Linked DNA regions of Caenorhabditis elegans. The protein of the gene in region 1 interacts with the protein of each later gene in a pairwise test. Each region holds a gene or a part of one and is shown in the gene's direction. Other genes may lie near its edges.

Region 1 (7,879 bases):
TTAAACATTGGAGCAACCATATTCGAAAGAAAAACATTTCTGAAAAACTTTGCATCTTTTTGCTAAATTTCAACAAATGTCTTCAAAAAAAATCAGAAAAAAAACCTAGTGGAAAACTCCTTGGAAACTCCTTACCAGAAACTTGTCAACATATATGTGCGGTGAAAACCGAAAATGGTGCAAAAATTTGGTAAGAAGTCGAAAGTAGCAATTAGTATAGTTTTATAGATAAATTTAATGTGAAAAATGTTGGAATTTTTCTATTAGTGAATTTAGAGCCGTTCTCAAAAATTTAAAATTGATCTTCTTAGATTTCAATTGGCTCTAGCACAAGTGCAGTTTCTTTTTGAAAAAAAATGTGTCTAAATAAAAATAGCTTTTCGAAATGACTTATTAGTTTCAATTCAGAATAAGTAGCTCTCATAGCAGCAATATACAGTTGTAATTGTGTTGCTATGAACCTAAATATTATTGAACTAAAATCAAAAACTGCCAGAAATTGGTTCTTGTCATTTTTAATGTTTTATCACTCCGTGATTTTATCAGTATTACAGTTTTTAGACTGGAAAGTAACATTTCCAATTCAGAAAAGTGATAGTATGATATTTCAATTGTTTTCTTGGACCTATATTGTAATTTTTTGTTTTGAACAGAAACAATTTTGCTTAACCATTTTCAATTGGGATAATTGTCACTCACTTATTGTCGATAATTATTTTTACTGCATTATCCAGTTTCCATCATCCAACTTTCTCAAGTACAGGCTACTTTATTCGCTTAGAAACTTTTTTGCAACTCTCCAATTTCCCCCACAAAAGAGCACAAAGAGCAAACAGTGTCAAGCATATTCATTCGTTCTGCGTGTCTAACCTCTAACGGTATGCGTGTTCTCAGTCACTCACTGCTCCCCTCTCTCTCGTTTTCTGCCACTGTTCAAACTTTTTCCACGTGTGTCTGTTTCACGTGGAAGTTTCAAGAACAGTGTTCTCACACACTTCTCTTCTACAACTATTTCACATCTTTTTGGCGCAAATACAAAAGCTTGTCGGACAGATAGTTGTCGGTCTGCGGCGCCGATGTGGAGAGTTGCCAGCATTTTCGAAAAAATGCCGAAGTGATAAGAGATTGTGTCCTCTTTTCACTCTACGGCACCCGGCATAATCACCACCTCTTACACGCTCTTTTTCTACCCCCTATTCCCTACATTTTGTCACTTTTTTCTCGCTTTTTCCATGTCGAACAACGTTTTCCATGTTTCCGATCGTAAATTCTACCAAATCTTGAGTAGGTCTGGATTTCTCAGCATTCTCCTTACTGTTCAGATTCATGTCACTTTTTCTGTTGTTTTCTTGCTCATATTCTTTTGTCAAATTTTTGAAATTCCTAAACTTTTATTTTATATTTCTCTGAACATCAGTTTGAGAAATTTCCTGTGACTCATTTTCCCAGAACCTATTTTATGAACTCTCGAAAAATGTTATTTATTCTGATAAATAGTGTATCGTAGCAATGAATCACAAATAAATAAATTTTCTATTGTTTTTCAGTTTTTCTCGCATTTTTGGAATGTTCCCATTTCTAATTTTTACATTTTTAGCCATGGTGCACATTCCGAGCGACGTGACTCCTCCAAGACTTTGTGTCGTTGAGAAGTTGAATGGAGAGAATGTAAGTGATTCAAATGTTTGAAACAGAATTGTATATGTTCTCTCTTCTATAAGTAAACGTTTTGGAATATTGTTATTTTACTATTAATACCCTCACAAATTGGAAAAAAAGTATGCAGTTCAGCCTGAGTTGTAACGCATGGAACTTTTTGAATCTGATAATTTTTCAGGCAACACGTGATGTAAATTGGAGTTTAAATAGTGTGTTATCTATAGTTTAAATTCCCATATATGTATGTTCAAAAACATTTAATTTCAGGAATATGGCTACAACTTGCACGCCGAGAAGGGACGTGGACAGTTCGTTGGTACCGTCGATCCGGATAGTCCTGCTGAGAGGTAAACATTTTTATTTTTGATATTGATGGACAATATTCATTGACAAATACATATATCAATTAAAAACCAATAATAAATTATTGAGTTTCAAAAATCTCTCAATACTAAAATGCTATGAAGGCTTTCACAGTTAGTCCATTTTCTCTGGTCAGCTCTGAAAATTGTAGAATATTTTAAAGTATTGGCATTGTCGGAGAAGAAACTGCAATTTTTGTTTCTATTTTACCAATTGTTTAAATATTTTCAGAGGAGGATTAATCACTGGTGACCGAATCTTTGCTGTCAATGGTCACTCGATTATTGGAGAAAATCACAAGAAGGTGGTTGAGCGCATAAAAGCAAATCCAAATCGATGTGAAATGCTTGTGATCTCTGAAGAAGGAGCTAAGTGGTACAATGAAAATAATGTTCAAATCACATTGGACCTTCCAAATATCGAACGAGTTTCTCCAATGGTTAGTCAAAATGTAGATTTTATCTTTACAAAATTAAAAAAAACAATTTTGTGTGACTTTTCTCATTCTCCTAACTTTATTTTAAATTCTAAAATTTTTAACATGTAAGATAAAAAAGTCTTCATTGTCGTGAAGAATGCAATATTCGTTTTTGACAGTAAAATTAGAAACATTTTCCATTTGTCTTATTTCCCTTTGTTGCGCCTAAAATCCCTTATGTTACCAATTGTCAGAGGAACTCCTGTCATCCGTCCAACAATTCTCCCCCGCCAAGTTCGTGGTACGCACCCACGTCATATTCACAGGTCAGTCTTTTTGCCTTTTCACATAATTTTCTCCTTTCTCCACTTTGTTTATTCCTCATTGTTATTTTGTAATTTTCAAACAGTATCGAATATCAAATAGTATAGCTGTAGTTGCTCATTGAGCATCATTTGTTTATTTGACACCTCTAGTTGCACTTGATCAACCGAACTTCGTATATCTACTGAGTCACACTGAACCATTTTTATGCGTCATTTTCATATGTTCTCACACTAAAAAAGGATTGACAAATATTTCGAGGTAGATAGACAGGGAGTCGATAGACAAGAAATGACGTCATTTTAGATGAAAGTTATAGGAACAATGAAAATTAAAAATTGGTAATTGAACCTGGGGAAATTGGAATTAACATTATTAATGGCTATGCAATTTTAGAACTGAAATTTTTAAAAAGTTATACAATATCCGATCTCAAATGAAGAAATGGAAATAAAAATTCTTGCAAAAAAATTGAATAATTTTTTTCTGTTTCATAAATAGTTAAAAGACTTATTCATAAATTTCAAAAATTCGGGAATTGCCTTTTCCGCACAAAAAATGTTTCCTCATTAAGGAAAACCCGTGGTTGGTTTGGAGACTATCTTGAAATTGTAATGCACATATTCTGTCATTCGATGATGCTTTATATAGTTTAGGCGATTGAAATCTGATTAAAACTTTTCTTTAGAACTCCATAAAAATATTTGATTTATTGCAAAAGTTTTGTAAACTTTTCTAAGTTCCTTGTAATATCTAAGTATTGCTAAGACATCATTTCTAGTCATCCACTTGTACTTTCTCTCCTCCAATTTTTGATTTACAATCTGATTCTCCATGCACTCCAAGACGTTCTCAACCATTATTCTTCAAACGGAACAACTTTTCGATGATTCTCGAATCGATGAAGAAACGGACGACACAATAGCGTTGGTTTTGTGTGTGTGTGCCTGTTTTGTATGTTAATATTCAATAAAAATATGAAGAAGATGGAAAAAGACGGGGCAAAGAATTTATGGGCCAAACCATACATATTCTATGCATTGAGGCACGAAGAGGGACAAAAAAGTTATATATCTTGACAAACAAAGGAATACCAAAAAGGCACTTTTGTTTGATTCACATTCCTTGGCTCTTCGGCACATCACTACAGTATTCTCAACTCTTATTCTCAGCTAAGAAATTTCAATTCTAAATCTGCATATTGCCTTCTTCAAACATGGATCGCAATCCATCTGAACCAGAAAGAATAGATTGGAAAAACCCAATCACGTGGATTTCGTATCTCTACACCTCTTTCGTGTACTATTTGTGGTTGATCTCCTCGCATCTACCACATCTCCCACAACCACAACGGATTACCGATGACAAATCAACGGAGCAGATCACCAGAGACGCAGGTATTCCGCGCACTGAGATAGTAACACGAGGAGATGCTACGCAGACAGTTAGACAAGTAGCGGGTCTAGGGGACCCAGCGCCAAAGGATTCATCATTATTGCCTCCCTCTTCGTCGTTCGTCTATTGCAACAACTGTCTAACACCTCATTCGTCTCAGAGGACTTGTTCTCCAGCCTACGTCTCTACTCTCTCAAGACAAAAGTCTTTGACGTTGCTAAAGAAATTGAAGAAACCCTCATCATCTGCTTCTTCCACCACTACCACCACATCATCGACTGTATCTTTCCGTGCACCTTCACGTGCATCATCAACGATCTCCGACGCTTCTACCATCCGCCCATCTGAACTCATTGCTATCGTTCCATCTGGTAGCCACGTGTTGCTGCGAGTTCCGAAACTTGATTGGAAAACTGAATCAATTCGAATCAAAAGAACTAGAATGAGTGATTGGATGGATGCGGAGCAACGGGATGTGATGAGACAATTTGATGAAGTTATAAGATCAGAAGAAGAAGACGAGAGGACCTCACGAAAAAGGAACGGAATCTTCAAAGATGGATCTGTAAGGAGTATTGAATCATTGGAATCTAGGAGTCGGGTGAGCACACGTTGTGATTTTGAAATATCGACTCAAAAATAAAACTTCTTTCTAACAATTATAAATTTAAAAGTTAGAGAATTATCTATTAGTATTGCACCCCCTTACTGTAGGCAGCTCATAACTGATTTTTCATTGATTTTATTATAATTTGACAACTTTCTACTTATAATCTATTTTACTATAATTTTTTAGTTAATAATTTTGTTGATGTCAGCAACTGTCTTTAAAATGAACCGATAGCTCCAAAGAAACGATGGAAAATTATATTTTACGGACCAAAGTTGATCCAAATTTTTTGCTGACAATTGTTCCTGTTTATTCAAAATTTAAAAATTTAAATTACACATTTTTTGGTTTGGGCTATAATTCATCATAAAACCATACTTCTTTAAAACGTGAAATCTCAACTTGTTTTACAGCATTTCAGATAAAATGCACACCGTAGAATTAATTGAAATGGTATTTCAACTGGTTTCTTTTCTTTGTTTTTCATCTTTCCCATACTGGTACGCGTGCCTATCCTTACCCAAATTCTTCAAAAACAATTTGATAAGGATTTCAGTATTTTTTCTTTAAATTGATTAGAGACCAACTTCGCCAAACTATCAATTGGGTACTATGTTTTATAAACTATTCCAACATTTGTTGAGGTATTCGTCATCCTCTTCAACTTTTTTCTTCAATATTTCCATTTTCTCCAAAAAGAATTTCATTTTCATATAAATACGAGTATCATTTCCTCTTCTTCATATTTCTGACTCATCTTTCCTCCATCTTCTCTTGCATACATTTCCAAAAATTTTGCCAACTTGCCAAGTAAACCGCAAACATACGAGAAAACTGTTAAAACTGTGTCTGCACTCTACGCACTCTCTCATTCAGCCTCTTGAAGCTTATGTATGTTTTGTTAAATGTGTGTTGTGGCATTGGCAAGAAAGGAGAGAGAAGGTAGATCATTTTTTATTGAGAAGAAAATGACAATGAAGAAGACAAGTAATAAAAAAATATGTTTAGTGCGAGAGAAACAGAACAAAATGATGATTTATGATCAAAATTGAGACATTAGAAAGTTGGAAGAGGAACTGTAAATTAAATGAGAAAATGGGATACAGAGATATGATAGCAGATAGATTTATGAGGTATTGATACGGAAAATAACATAAATATTGGAAGACTGGCGGACTGGAAATTTGCACAGTTCAATGTTAGGAAGATTGAAATGAGTGTAGAAAAACAACTCAAAGAGGAGTGTAAATTAATCAATAAATAGGTTATTATTTTTGACAATTAACACTTCAATAAATTGTGACATAATTAAAAATATGATGAAACAGAAATAGTTTTGGAAGACTAACGAGTTACCAGCATTCCAGTGTTTAACAGTATATTACAACTCGATGAAACATTCGAAAATTCTAAAATGGAAAATCGATTAAAATTTTTTACTCCTTTAAGAAATCTTGTTCGTAAGCCATATTCTCAGAGAGAACCAAATTCAAAAAAGTTGTCTGACTACAGTAATCCGCAACAATTCCACTTACCTATCATTCGTTACAAATCTTCCTCTTCGTTTCTTTGTCCTTTAATAAATGACCTTCATTTGAATATATCTAATTGGTCCTCCATTAGACACCTTCTTCCAATTGTTTTTTATCCTCCACCTGCCATGTCTTTATTTCAATCTGTCTGTGTCTCGTGCTCTCTCTCTCATTCAATAGAAAGATAGTTAACGAAGCATGACGCATTGGAATATCTTGCTTCACTAAAAGATTGCAACATTCCAATTCTATTAATTTTTACAAAAAACCAACAATCTTCTCCCATTCTTGTCATTTGTCATGTTTAGACACTTTCTCAAGTATTTTACTAATTTTCTTCAAAAAGTACACATTCATCAAACGTTGTATGTTCAATATTCTTTTCCTTCAAACAAACTTTGAATCTCATAAAATGTTTTGTGGTTTCGGAACATGTTAGAAATACAAATAACTTGTCGGAAAACTTTCACAAAACTTGAATTTTATTTCTTGGCATTTCCCAACATTGAAACGCATCTTGTAATCCGATATTTTTGGGACTTGTTTTTTATATTCACTTTTATTCGAAAGAATATCAGAAATAATATACATTAGACTATTTCAAGTGGCGTAGGATATAGGGTTCCTTTTTCCGTCGAAATATTGAAATAGTTCGATTTCGGTTTTTTTTTTGGGTCTCTGAAAGTATTGAAAGTTATAAGATTTTTTACTTAAAAGTACATACTTTTTCGATTTATTCGCTTTAGTTGTTTGAATAACTGTAAAACTATACATAAATTTACAAGTATCCAATCTCCATATGACTCTTGACACCCTGTTGTTGAAATTCAAATCCCTCCGATTATTATTATTAGTCATCATCTTTCTCATAAATCTCTCGGTTTGATTTTATCTTCCCGATATATTTTCAATTCAACTATCCAACATCTCACTTTTCTTGCATTTCTAAATTATTAAAAATTTACATTTTTGTGAATTCCATTGATAAAAGAAAACTATTCAAAATGCATTTTATTGATAAGGTGAGGATATGCGTTAAATTTTATGGTTTTAATGTTTTTAAAACTCATAGATTTTTTAAAAGTCAGCTTTCAAAATTGTGATATGCGGAATCTGAGTAATTGCCAAAAGTTTTGCTATGATATTTGTCATTTCAGTATAATAAAAGTGGTTTTCAACCTTTTCCCCACTGTGCTTGTAAACATATATTTTGGTTTAGCACAAGGTGGTTGACTTTTTTTAATTTGGTAGAAACACATTTTTGGACCCCACTACGGCGATTGTCACAAGGTATCGGGTACTTCATCATTGAAAATTCAGGATTTGTACTGTTCCCCTTCAATTCATTGTCAATATGTTTTTGATCACTTTACCACAAAAAAGATCACAAAAGAGTAATGGCAAATGTCCAACAATTTCCTCTAACCAGCCGCTCTTTTTCTTTCTCACCCCGAATGGTCAACCTTGTTGGGTCCAAACAATTGAAAACAACGTCGGAAACGTGTACCTTTCGGTTCTGCTGTAGGGATTGTTGTTTGTCGGTACTGTATGCTGTTTGGCAAGGTGTGCAAATAAAGA
Region 2 (11,088 bases), on another chromosome or scaffold:
CAAATTCGAGTGTCAGCAATCACTCTAAAGACACATCTGCCAAATTTAGACAGTTTATATTTTCTCGCACCTGGCTTTCGAGATTTTTAATTTATTGCAGCTGGAGAATATGGAAATATGCGAGGTTTTCTGGAAATTTTGGAACTAAAAACATAACAATTTAATTTCTCCAAAGCCCAGGGAAAAAAGTTTTTTTGACAAAAAAAACAGCCCAGAATTGATAACTATTTTTCAATATTTCTGCTTTAAAATATATTTTTTAAATTATATTTTCTGTATTGCAGCTGATCTATTAATTTATAGATTAGTAGATTATCTGCAATGCATAAAACTAATAAGTTAGATTCTATTGATGTTCTTCTTTTCTGAAAATATCTGAAGTGTCATCTTCCGCCTACTACACACAATCCATCGTCACCTAGTCATACAGCAAACATTTCCAAACTTTTATTACAACGTTCGTTTCGTTCGTTTCTTCAGAAATCAAACCTGAATCGTACTGTGTTGTCTGTTTTTAGCAGTTTACAAAGTTGAGTTAAATCTCTTAGAACTTGTTGAACATTCTTTTTTCTTCTTTAATGCTACACAGACTGAGAAAATTCTGTAAAATCTTACTTTTTCATGAAAGTCAATTGACTTTTGAATCAAGTCAACTATTCCTCTTTTGCTCAACTGAGATCCTGAAAGCTTTCCATAACCTCAGAATTGTTGTGCTCCGTCTGTAAAACGTTATTCTTTCACATTTGCATATTTCTTCCTATCACTTTGCAATAATACTCTGTCAATGTGTGAGAGAGAAAGGTGTCTCACTGACACATACAAACGACACATTCAAACTTATTTACATAGTACTGTATTCATATTTTATATATATTCAAATGCAGTTGAGAATAGAGAATAAACCTTTCATTTCTTCTTGTTGTACTCGGTTCGTAGTTTCAGATCATTTTGATCGAACCGCTTTTTTCTGTGAACAAGTATTTTCCAATAGGTGTTTTTTTGCTGTTTTCATTCTCCTTACGGAAGTTTTTATATTGAATCTTTACTTTCCTTATTTTTCCAGTTAATTTTTCAAAATTATCAAAAATTTAGCGAATTGTCTCGAACTTCTTGGAATTTTTTCCGTACTGTTCTAATACGGTATCCAGCTGAAAATTTAAGCCAGTTTGTGTGCTTTATTGGCTTTTTCCATCAAATTTTTTGTTGTCATGTTATCTCAACATTTTTCAAAATTAGTGTTAAAATATCGAAAAATTACTTGATTCGTCTGAAAATAAACTTCAATTTAGCTAAAACATTTAAGAAAGCTTTTAAAAATGGCCTGAAAATTGCCAGTATCCGATTATCGAATTATCAGATTTTTTGTCTAACAATTTGCAACTTTCCCACCGATTTTGAGCATTTCTTCAAATGTTTCAGCTAAAAATATGTTTCATTTCCAGATAAATCGAGTGATTTTCGATATTTTGACACTAATTTTTAGTGAAAAACGTTGGAACAACATAGCCCAATAATTTTGTAGAATTGCCGGAAATAATAGCCCTGTACCTGTAAATCAAAATCAATATTCCCACCTGTGACACATATTTTTCTGAATAATTTTTTGATTCATGAAACTTTTTCTTTAAAATAATTAAAGCATTAAAAAAAACTCAAACTCGCCAAAACTCCCAAGAAACTGTCCAGGCACCCGAGAATCGCGCCAACGCCCTGCTGGCGCGATTCTCGTGCAGTGGCAAATCGCAGAACGCGCCAAAAACGGATCCGAACGGGTTTGAATCAGACGATGACTCATTTTTTATTGTTTTTCGAGTTTTATTGATTTTTTTTAATCGCCAAATGTATAAATCCCCCTAAAATATACACAATTTTCCATGTGTCACTTTGAATTTTCGGATAAATGATTGAAAAATTAGATTTCTCTATTCAAAATTTAAAATTCATAACCTTGAACTCATTTGTTTCGTTTTCTTCGCTCCGTTTTCTGATTTCTCATGAATTTTTGAAATCTCTGTTCATTCGAATTCTATTTTCACATCTTATTTTACTTTCTTGCAGAAAAAAGTGACGAAGATTTTCGGTGGAAAAGTTTCGTGAATTCTCACCGCTCACCCCAATCCATCTTCGACTCGGACATCAAAAAGAGCTAAAATAATGTCGAAAAAAGCGGTAAGTTTGAAAAATGTAGCTTCAAATAATTTAAAACTTTTACGGCCAAATAAAAAAAAACACTGTTTAAATTTGCGATTTTCTTATTTCTTTCGGAAAAAATGCCGCCATTAATTAAAAACAAATGGAAAAAATTTGAAACTGTGAAATGTTGAATATTTCGGAAATTATGTTCTGTTCAGCACGACTTCTGCCGATTTTTTTAAAAAATAAGAATCTATCGATCTAAAAATATACTCTGTATTTTATTTTTCACTTATAAGACTATAAAGAGGCATATTTCTGCAAAATGGACTCATTTTTGAGGTTTTGTTGAAATTTTCGAAAATAGAGGGTTTCAATACCATTTTGCATAAATGCGCCTCTTTTTAAACATATAAGTGGGAAATAAAATACAAAACATATATTTTTTACAAAATTAATTTAAAAAATTTTAGAAAACAATTCAGATTTTTACGCTTACGAAGTAGAGCCGCGAACAATTTTGAACTCGAAATAAACTCAAAATTGATGATATTTGAAATATCATTTCATTCTTTTTTTTTCTGCCGAAACTTCTATGAAGAAATGCGCACATGTATGTGTGCAAACCGACAAATAGGCGGAGCCTGTACAAAAACGGGCGGTCTATAGTTCTTCTCACTCCGTTTTTGTGCTGTATACAGGGAGAGAGAGTGACAACTCATATCATTTAGTTTTAGATAAGAATTTTAAATTCTCAAGTTTCACTCTTTTTTTTATTTTGAATTTCTGATTTTCATGCAAGATTTCTTATATCATTTTACTGAAAAATTTTAAGCTAACCTCTTCATATCAATTGGTCCAGCAGTTCAAACTTGTGGAACACAAAATAGAAAAATGGTTGCGGCCGGCGATGTAAATTGTTAATTGAAAAAATTTTTTTTAGAAATTTAAGAAAAAATATAACGAAAAATCGATTTTATTTTTGCCTAATCCAACTATTTCTTGTTTCAGATCAATGTGCGTGTCACCTCGATGGACTCGGAGCTCGAGTTCGCTATTCAGTCGAGCACCACAGGAAAGCAACTTTTTGATCAGGTTAGATGATTTTGTTTTATTATATTTAAAAAGTACTTTTTTTATTAAATTGGAGAATGGATAAATTTTAATAATTCAAAAAAAAAATCAGAATTTTCTGAAACATTAAATTTTCACTAACCATTAGAAATTTTAAATCAAAACGATTTAAATTTGAAAAAAATAATCCAAAATTTCCAGCTCTTGAAATTGAGTTTCGAATTTTCCAGCAATATTAATTCCTTCATTTTAATTTTTGCAGGTTGTCAAAACCATTGGTCTCCGCGAGATCTGGTATTTTGGACTTCAGTACACTGACAACAAGGGATTCCCAACATGGCTGAAATTGAACAAGAAAGTCTTGTCTCAGGACGTTAAGAAGGACCCGACTCTTGTTTTCAAATTCCGCGCCAAATTCTATCCGGAAGATGTGGCCGAGGAGATTATCCAGGATGTCACTATGGTATGTTTGACACCTTTTTTTAAATATTTAATTTTTTGGAAAAAAAAAACTGTAAATTTTCCATTACCTCTGGCCAATATTTGATTTTTAGTTGTAATTCTCACTTTTCGCTTTTCTGACATTCTCTGGCGACTCTCTTGATTTCCTGTGCTATTTCTGATTTGTAACTGATAAGTAGAGAATGCCCGTGCCATTTATGCATGTAATGCAATGTTGGCAAGCAATAGGAAATAACTTTGGAGTATATTCAAGAATAGAAAAAAAGGGGAAAATTTTGGTAAGGAATACATTTCTGTGGTTTTAGAGTACCTTCTTACAAGCTGGCCTGCTTAAAAAGACCCCAAAACGACCAAATTTCAAAATGAAATTTCTCAAAAAATGCCCGAAAATGAATTAAAGCAGTGAAAATTCTGAAAAAAATCCGATATTTTTTCTGTTAAAAAAATCCGATATTTTTGCTAAAATTAGAATAAAGTTTTTTATGCCAGTGATAATTCAATAAAATGGCATTCCGATTTAGGAAAATTTGGCTCTTTTTTGAGAATTTTGGCTCGCTATAAAGAATTTTTGAATTTTTTAAACCAGTTTTATTTGAGCAAAAAAAACTCTTCTGCTCAAAAATTTCCACGGCTCATGTGCTCACAAGGTCCTCAATAAACTGCCTAAAAACAAAATATTTTGATGGTGACAAGTGTAAACATGGGCATTTTCTCCCTTCCGTTTCAAAAAAAGGTTCTCCCATTGAGAGTGTGGTTTCCGATTACCTCCGAGCCACTTTTTTGTCTCACACAAAAAGAGATTGTTTAATGGTTTGTAAACATCGATGGGAAGACACTGTGTGTGCGAGACTCTTTTTTTGAGAGGAGAAATGAGCATCCTATTAGAACCTCCGACTGCGAACAGGAAATCTCTGATCTGGGTGGTCTGTTTTGTTTGAATAGGATCACAAGATCAGTTGAAGATTTCAGTAGAATAGCTATTTAGTACCTATATGCAAATTGATTTAGTACCTATATGCAAATTTAGATCAGTTGTTAAAATTAATGTAAAAATTTCTTTTTTTTTTAAATATAGAAAAATACTTTTATTTCTATGAAAATAACATTTTTCAGTTGAAACATTTGAGAAAATGCACAAAAATGGTCTGAAAGTTTCTAATTCACAAAAAAACCTTTTTTGAGCACTTTCTCAAATGATTCAAAAATATAAATATCACTTCCGGTTAAGTAAATTGATTTTTTCTCTTTTTTTTAGATTTCCAATAATATTTCGCATTTGAATTTGAATAGATAGACTGACTTAAATTCTGTTCCGATGACTCATATCAATGGAAACAATGAAAAAACTCTCAGTTTGTTGCTGTCTCTTTGCTCTTTTTATATTCATGTTCATAACTGACATAAAGAGGAAGAGGAGAATGGCATGTGTGAATAATCAAAAAATGATTCAAAACGATAAATATGAGGGGAAGAGAATATAAATTGAACTTTTTGCAAAATTTGCAGAATTTTTTGTTTGGAAGAGGGAACAATTGGGTTTCAGAATCATTAGTTGAAAATGGAGTATGGTTTTTTAAAATGTCAGAAAACAATCTCAATGTACAGAACATACAGTTAAAAAATTATGAAGTTTTTTAACTGAAATTAAGCCTTAATTAAATGAAAATATTTTCAGCGTTTGTTCTATCTCCAAGTGAAAGATGGAATTCTGTCAGATGAGATTTATTGTCCACCGGAAACCTCTGTTCTTCTTGCCTCTTACGCGATGCAAGCTAAATATGGAGACTATGTTCCAGAGACACATGTCGCCGGATGTCTTACTGCTGATCGGTGAGTTTTTCTTGAAATTAGCTTTTAAAAAAATTATTAATAACTATTAAAAAATATCTTTGCGGTTCAAAATTCCAATCAAGATTACTAAAATAAGAAAAATAATAATTTTCTGCGATAATTCATTTTTAATTATGTAGTGAAATTTCACAGTATCACAGTACTCATACAATTCATAATTATCACATGAAAATGAGATTAGAATAAAGAAGGGAAAGTTCCAGATCTAGATGATCAATAAAAAAGTATATAATAAGAAGTAGTTAAAAAAAAGTAAACTTTTTATATTAAATGCCAAAAATAATTAATTATTTCATTCCAGTCTGCTTCCTCAACGCGTTCTCGGACAATTCAAATTGAACAGTGAGGAATGGGAACGCCGTATTATGACATGGTGGGCAGATCATCGTGCAACTACACGTGAACAAGCTATGCTTGAATATTTGAAAATTGCACAAGATCTCGAGATGTATGGAGTCAATGTACTGTTTCTCATTTTTCTGTCGAGTTTTAAAAAAAGCTAATTTCAGTACTTTGAAATCCGCAACAAAAAGGGAACTGATCTCTATCTTGGTGTCGATGCTCTTGGATTGAATATTTACGATAAAGCTGATCGTCTTTCGCCGAAAGTCGGATTCCCATGGTCGGAGATTCGTAATATATCATTCAACGACAAGAAATTTGTCATCAAACCAATTGATAAGAAGGCTCATGTAAGTGATTACTGTCACACACAGTTTGTCGTGGCATCAAGCTTCTATTTGTTGGCAAAATTTCTGCGGAAAAAACGGAAAAATTGTGTGATAGTAGTTGGAAGTGGTGGTGATAAGAAGCAATCGATGGAACATTGAATTTTGATTTAAAATTTTTTTGTTGGTTTTTCTTATTTTTGGGGTGTGAAAATATCACAATCATTGACCAGATGCGGAATGTTGCGATTTTGAGGCAAAAGTATGGTGCCCGGTCTCGGTCTCGACACGACCGAATAAATTTATTTACCAAAATGGTGTGCACCTTTAAAAAGTAGAGTAGCTCCAGGCCTTTCTGATTTCCAACTTCGTTAGATTTTTCTAGTTTATTAATTAATAAAAATTAGTTTCACTAACAAAAGTAAAATAAAAGGTTTTTACAATAAAAATATTTAGAAAAAATCTATGAAAATTTCAAATCAGCTCAACGGTAACTACTGTACTTTTTAAATGCGCACATCCTTTTTCATTTAAATTTATTCGATCGCCTCGATATCGAGTAATGTGTTTTTGTATCAAAAATCGCAAATTTCGAGATGGATGGAACATTTTGTGGAAATTGAGTTTGTTGTAATTTTTCTGAACATTTTTTCCCCGATTTTTTGATTTTAGAAAAATCGAAAAAAAATTCTTATTTTCGCTGAAAAAAAAATCGAAAAAATGTTTTTCATTATTCGTCTTCATTTTTATCATTAATTTTCAGGACTTTGTCTTCTACGCTCCACGACTCCGTATCAACAAACGTATTCTTGCTTTGTGTATGGGAAATCACGAGCTTTACATGCGTAGAAGAAAGCCAGATACCATTGAAGTTCAACAAATGAAGCAACAAGCCAGAGAGGATCGTGCTCTTAAGATTGCCGAGCAGGAGAAGCTCACCAGAGTAAGTTGCGGAAATTTTTGAAACATGTTTTTACAAATAATTTCTAAAAAAACTTTCACTCAAATCTGTTTTGATCGTACAGGAGATGTCTGCTCGCGAAGAAGCCGAACAGCGTCAACGTGACGCCGAAAAGCGTATGGCTCAAATGCAGGAAGATATGGAGAGAGCTCGTCTTGAATTGGCTGAAGCACACAATACAATTCACTCATTGGAGGCTCAACTCAAGCAATTGCAATTGGCTAAACAAGCATTGGAACAGAAGGAATACGAACTTCGTGAGCTCACTGCTCAACTTCAATCCGAAAAAGCAATGAGTGATGGTGAGAGACGTCATTTGAGAGACCAAGTTGATGCTCGTGAACGTGAAGTTTTTTCGATGAGAGAAGAAGTCGAGAGACAGACTACTGTTACAAGACAACTTCAGACACAGGTATTTTTTATTTTTGAAACTAAAATAGAAACAAAAAATTCTCTTTAAAAAAATTATTTTAAATACCGTATTAACAATTATCGAGCAGTAATTTTCAGTCTGAAATTACTGTTTTAAAATTTTAAAATGAAAAAAAGTATGCAGTAATTCCTGAAATTAGTTGATTACTGTAACAAAAAAGCTTAATTTAAAAAAAAAATTTGCAACAATAAAAGAGATACAAAAAGAAAAAACTAAAAAAAATTGTGAAAGAATAAAAAATCCGATCTTTAAAAGCGAGATTTTTTAATTGTACGCAGTGATGTTGCAACAAAAATTTCGGCCAAAAAACAAACAAATTTTGTTTAAAATTTCTCCAAAAAACCAACAAAAAAAAACAAAAATGTTCATTTTTCGTCATACCAACTAAAACATAAAATTTTTGATAAACATTTTTTTAAATGTTTTCTTGTCCGAAAAAACCAAAAAAAACGGAATCCCTGATTGTAACTCTGGATTTATTTTATTTCAAAATTATTTTTTCTTAAATTCAGATTCACTCGCAACAACACACTCAACACTACTCAAACAGTCATCACGTTTCCAATGGACACGCTCACGATGAGACTGCCACTGATGATGAAGATAATGGAGCAACTGGTATGCCTTTTTTATTTATTTAAAATAATTGGGAGAGATTATGAGAAAAAATATCATCTTCAAATTTTATCTTCCAGAACTCACAAATGACGCTGATCAGAATGTGCCACAACACGAGTTGGAGCGTGTCACAGCAGCCGAGAAGAACATTCAGATCAAGAATAAGCTGGATATGTTGACTCGCGAGCTTGACAGTGTTAAAGATCAGAACGCTGTCACTGACTACGACGTTCTGCATATGGAGGTTCGTATTTTAAAAAAACTCGTTTTAATGGATGGTTTTAGAGAATTTAGCATTCAAAATTTACAGTAATTTTCTAGAACCTGCATTTTTTTCATAAATTCAAGTTTTAAAAAATATTTCCGGACTGCGATCAAAATACAATTTTTTAAAAATTAAATTTGGAAAAAAACAGAAGAACGCAAAAATCTTTAAAAAATATCGAGTTCCGGATTATTTTAAAATAAAAAAAATCATTAAAAATCATTAAAAAGCCATTAAAAACAAATTTTGCTTAAAAATAATTTTATGATATTAAAATTGTTTGAAGTACAGAAATTGAGTTTTTTCGGTGTTTTCTGTTTGCAGACAAACCGAAAACATTTCTGAAAACATTCCAAACTCGGTATTTCCTTTACGGAAACAAGCAACATAAATTTTACTTATTTTTGAACAAGTTTGACCCTAAATTTTTTAGATTTTTTGAGCGAAACCGAAATATCGAAAAACCGAAAAACCTGCCGGCCCGATTCCAAATTTTTAAATTTTCAGAACAAAAAGGCCGGACGCGACAAGTACAAGACTCTCCGTCAAATCCGTGGAGGAAACACAAAACGAAGAATCGATCAATACGAAAATATGTAATTATTTGTTCTATCGTATTTCCTTTTATTTTTTTAAACAATATTCTCAATTGTCTCCCACCAACTTCCAAATGCTCATCATCTTGGCTCTTTTCTCCCTTTCTCGTTTTTTTTATAGGACAACAATTATTATTATTATTAATTTGAAAATTTATTGGTTTGTTCCGATTCACTTCCTTGTTCACCCCATCAGTGCCTTTTACAATATTATCCGAAATTTGTTTTCTTCCAAAAAATGCTCGGTTTCTCTATTCCCCTCTTCTTGTATTCGTCATATCCAATTTTTCAAGTAACTTGTTAAATCCGCCGCCAAAAAACCCCGAATTTCTCGCGCAAAGACTTCAAATTCTACGCTTTTCCCCTCTCTCTCCCCATCAAACTCTCGACATCCCCCTGAAAATGTTTATCTATTTTATTTTATTAATTATGATATTATTCAAATCTAAATATTCGACTCTTCTATTTTCCCATTTATGCGTTGTTTAAACACAGTTATTCAACTATGACTCATGATATTATGATAAATATGAATACGTGACATGTGAAAGAAAAGACTAAAAGGATTAATTGTTGGAACAATGGGGATATATGAAACAAAAAAAAATTAAATTATATTGCATATTTTTAATTGCTAGAAAATGATAATCATTTTAGAAGTAGAAGAGTTTTCAAATGCTCCAAGGGTTTCGATGGAGCCCTCACGGTTTTTGGGTTTGCCAAGCAAGGTGATTTTTGAATAATTGAGAATTTAATTTCACAGAAATAAAAAATAGTAAAATTTCCAGGTTCTTCAACAAAAAAATCCGTCAGCGAACACATTACGAAGTGCTCGGTGTTGAAAGCACGGCGACACTTTCTGAAATTAAATCTGCATTTTATGCACAATCGAAAAAAGTGAGGAATTTCCGAAAATAACCAAAAAACAAACATTTTTAATCAATTTTTCGTGAAAATTTGTCGAAGTTTTCTTCCAGGTCCATCCTGACAACTCATCCGAAGAATCTGCAACAGCTAGCTTCTTGGAACTCAAAAATGCATATGATGTGCTCAGGTTTTTAAAATTCGGATTTTTAGATTAAACTGATATATTTCAGAAGACCAGCTGATCGTCGACTTTATGATTATCAATTGAGAGGTGGTGGTGGAAGATATCCGAATGGAGGACAACGATATCAATATCCGAATACAGCTCCACAATATGATTTTAGTCGGTTCGTAATAAAATATAAATATTCTTTCTGAATTTCAAATATTCTCAGAGACTGGTCCACGTATTGGAGTCAGAATCCGGATAACTCCCGGTCGAGTCGTGAAGAACGAGATAAATCTTCAAGAGAATTTATGAAATCAATTGTTAAATGGACTGCCATTGGTTTAGTACTTGTTGCTGGATATAATGGAGGATATTTGTATGTTTTATTGAAAATTGCAATTTCACGAAAGCTGCATGCGTTTTTAAACAAGCTTCTCGTATAACACGGCCATTCTGAGCTCGTGTACTCCCCGCGGAAAAGTGATAATTTTGCAGAGCAGTCTACAATTTTTGGCAAAAAAAAATTAGAGATAACATTATATGGAGTTTTTTAACAGTAAATTCAAGAGTTTCAGTCAAAAACATGTGTGCTTCTCCTCGGGGAGTTCACGAGCTCCGTAAATCGAAAAATTATTGTCAGAGTTTTAAAAAATTGCAGATATCTTCTGGCTTATAATCAAAAGCAACTAGACAAATTAATCGATGAAGATGAGATTGCAAAATGCTTTTTGCGGCAAAAAGAGTTCCGAAATGCTAACTTTGAAAGCTCGGAGGTTAGAATTTTAAGATTTCATTTACAAACGATACCATTTTCAGGTTGCTGAAATTGGAAGAATATTAAAAGCTGACGTTGATGAGATTTGGAAGACGAAAACCCAAAGAAATGAAAATGAGATTCGAGAAGAATATCGGTACGGAAGGTGTTTCGAAATTATGAGATTTTTCGCTACAAAATACGGTCTCGCCACGAAAGGAGTTTTTCTTTCAAAGT

Evidence for each region.
Region 2: the proteins of nrfl-1 (region 1) and erm-1 interact in a two-hybrid assay, tested with the Caenorhabditis elegans proteins (2 studies listed by BioGRID).

The regions. Positions count from the first base shown.
Region 1 is NC_003282.8:9,117,501-9,125,379, forward strand, and holds the start of nrfl-1 (Na(+)/H(+) exchange regulatory cofactor-like protein nrfl-1), read left to right. Parts: upstream 1-3,871; 5' UTR 3,872-3,980; coding exon 3,981-4,760; intron 4,761-5,777; exon of another isoform or gene 5,778-6,178; intron 6,179-6,304; exon of another isoform or gene 6,305-6,376; intron 6,377-7,305; coding exon of another isoform or gene 7,306-7,323; intron 7,324-7,879. UniProt on the Caenorhabditis elegans protein: Scaffold protein that connects plasma membrane proteins with members of the ezrin/moesin/radixin family and thereby helps to link them to the actin cytoskeleton and to regulate their surface expression.
Region 2 is NC_003279.8:5,282,575-5,293,662, reverse strand, and holds erm-1 (Moesin/ezrin/radixin homolog 1), read left to right. Parts: upstream 1-2,968; 5' UTR 2,969-3,027; coding exon 3,028-3,045; intron 3,046-3,144; coding exon 3,145-3,228; intron 3,229-3,469; coding exon 3,470-3,670; intron 3,671-5,344; coding exon 5,345-5,499; intron 5,500-5,821; coding exon 5,822-5,981; intron 5,982-6,029; coding exon 6,030-6,212; intron 6,213-6,951; coding exon 6,952-7,131; intron 7,132-7,213; coding exon 7,214-7,561; intron 7,562-8,094; coding exon 8,095-8,200; intron 8,201-8,277; coding exon 8,278-8,444; intron 8,445-8,972; coding exon 8,973-9,065; 3' UTR 9,066-9,601; downstream 9,602-11,088. Other genes in the region: dnj-4 (J domain-containing protein), read left to right, coding at 9,737-9,789, 9,850-9,958, 10,039-10,115, 10,159-10,275, 10,324-10,473, 10,756-10,870, 10,914-11,008.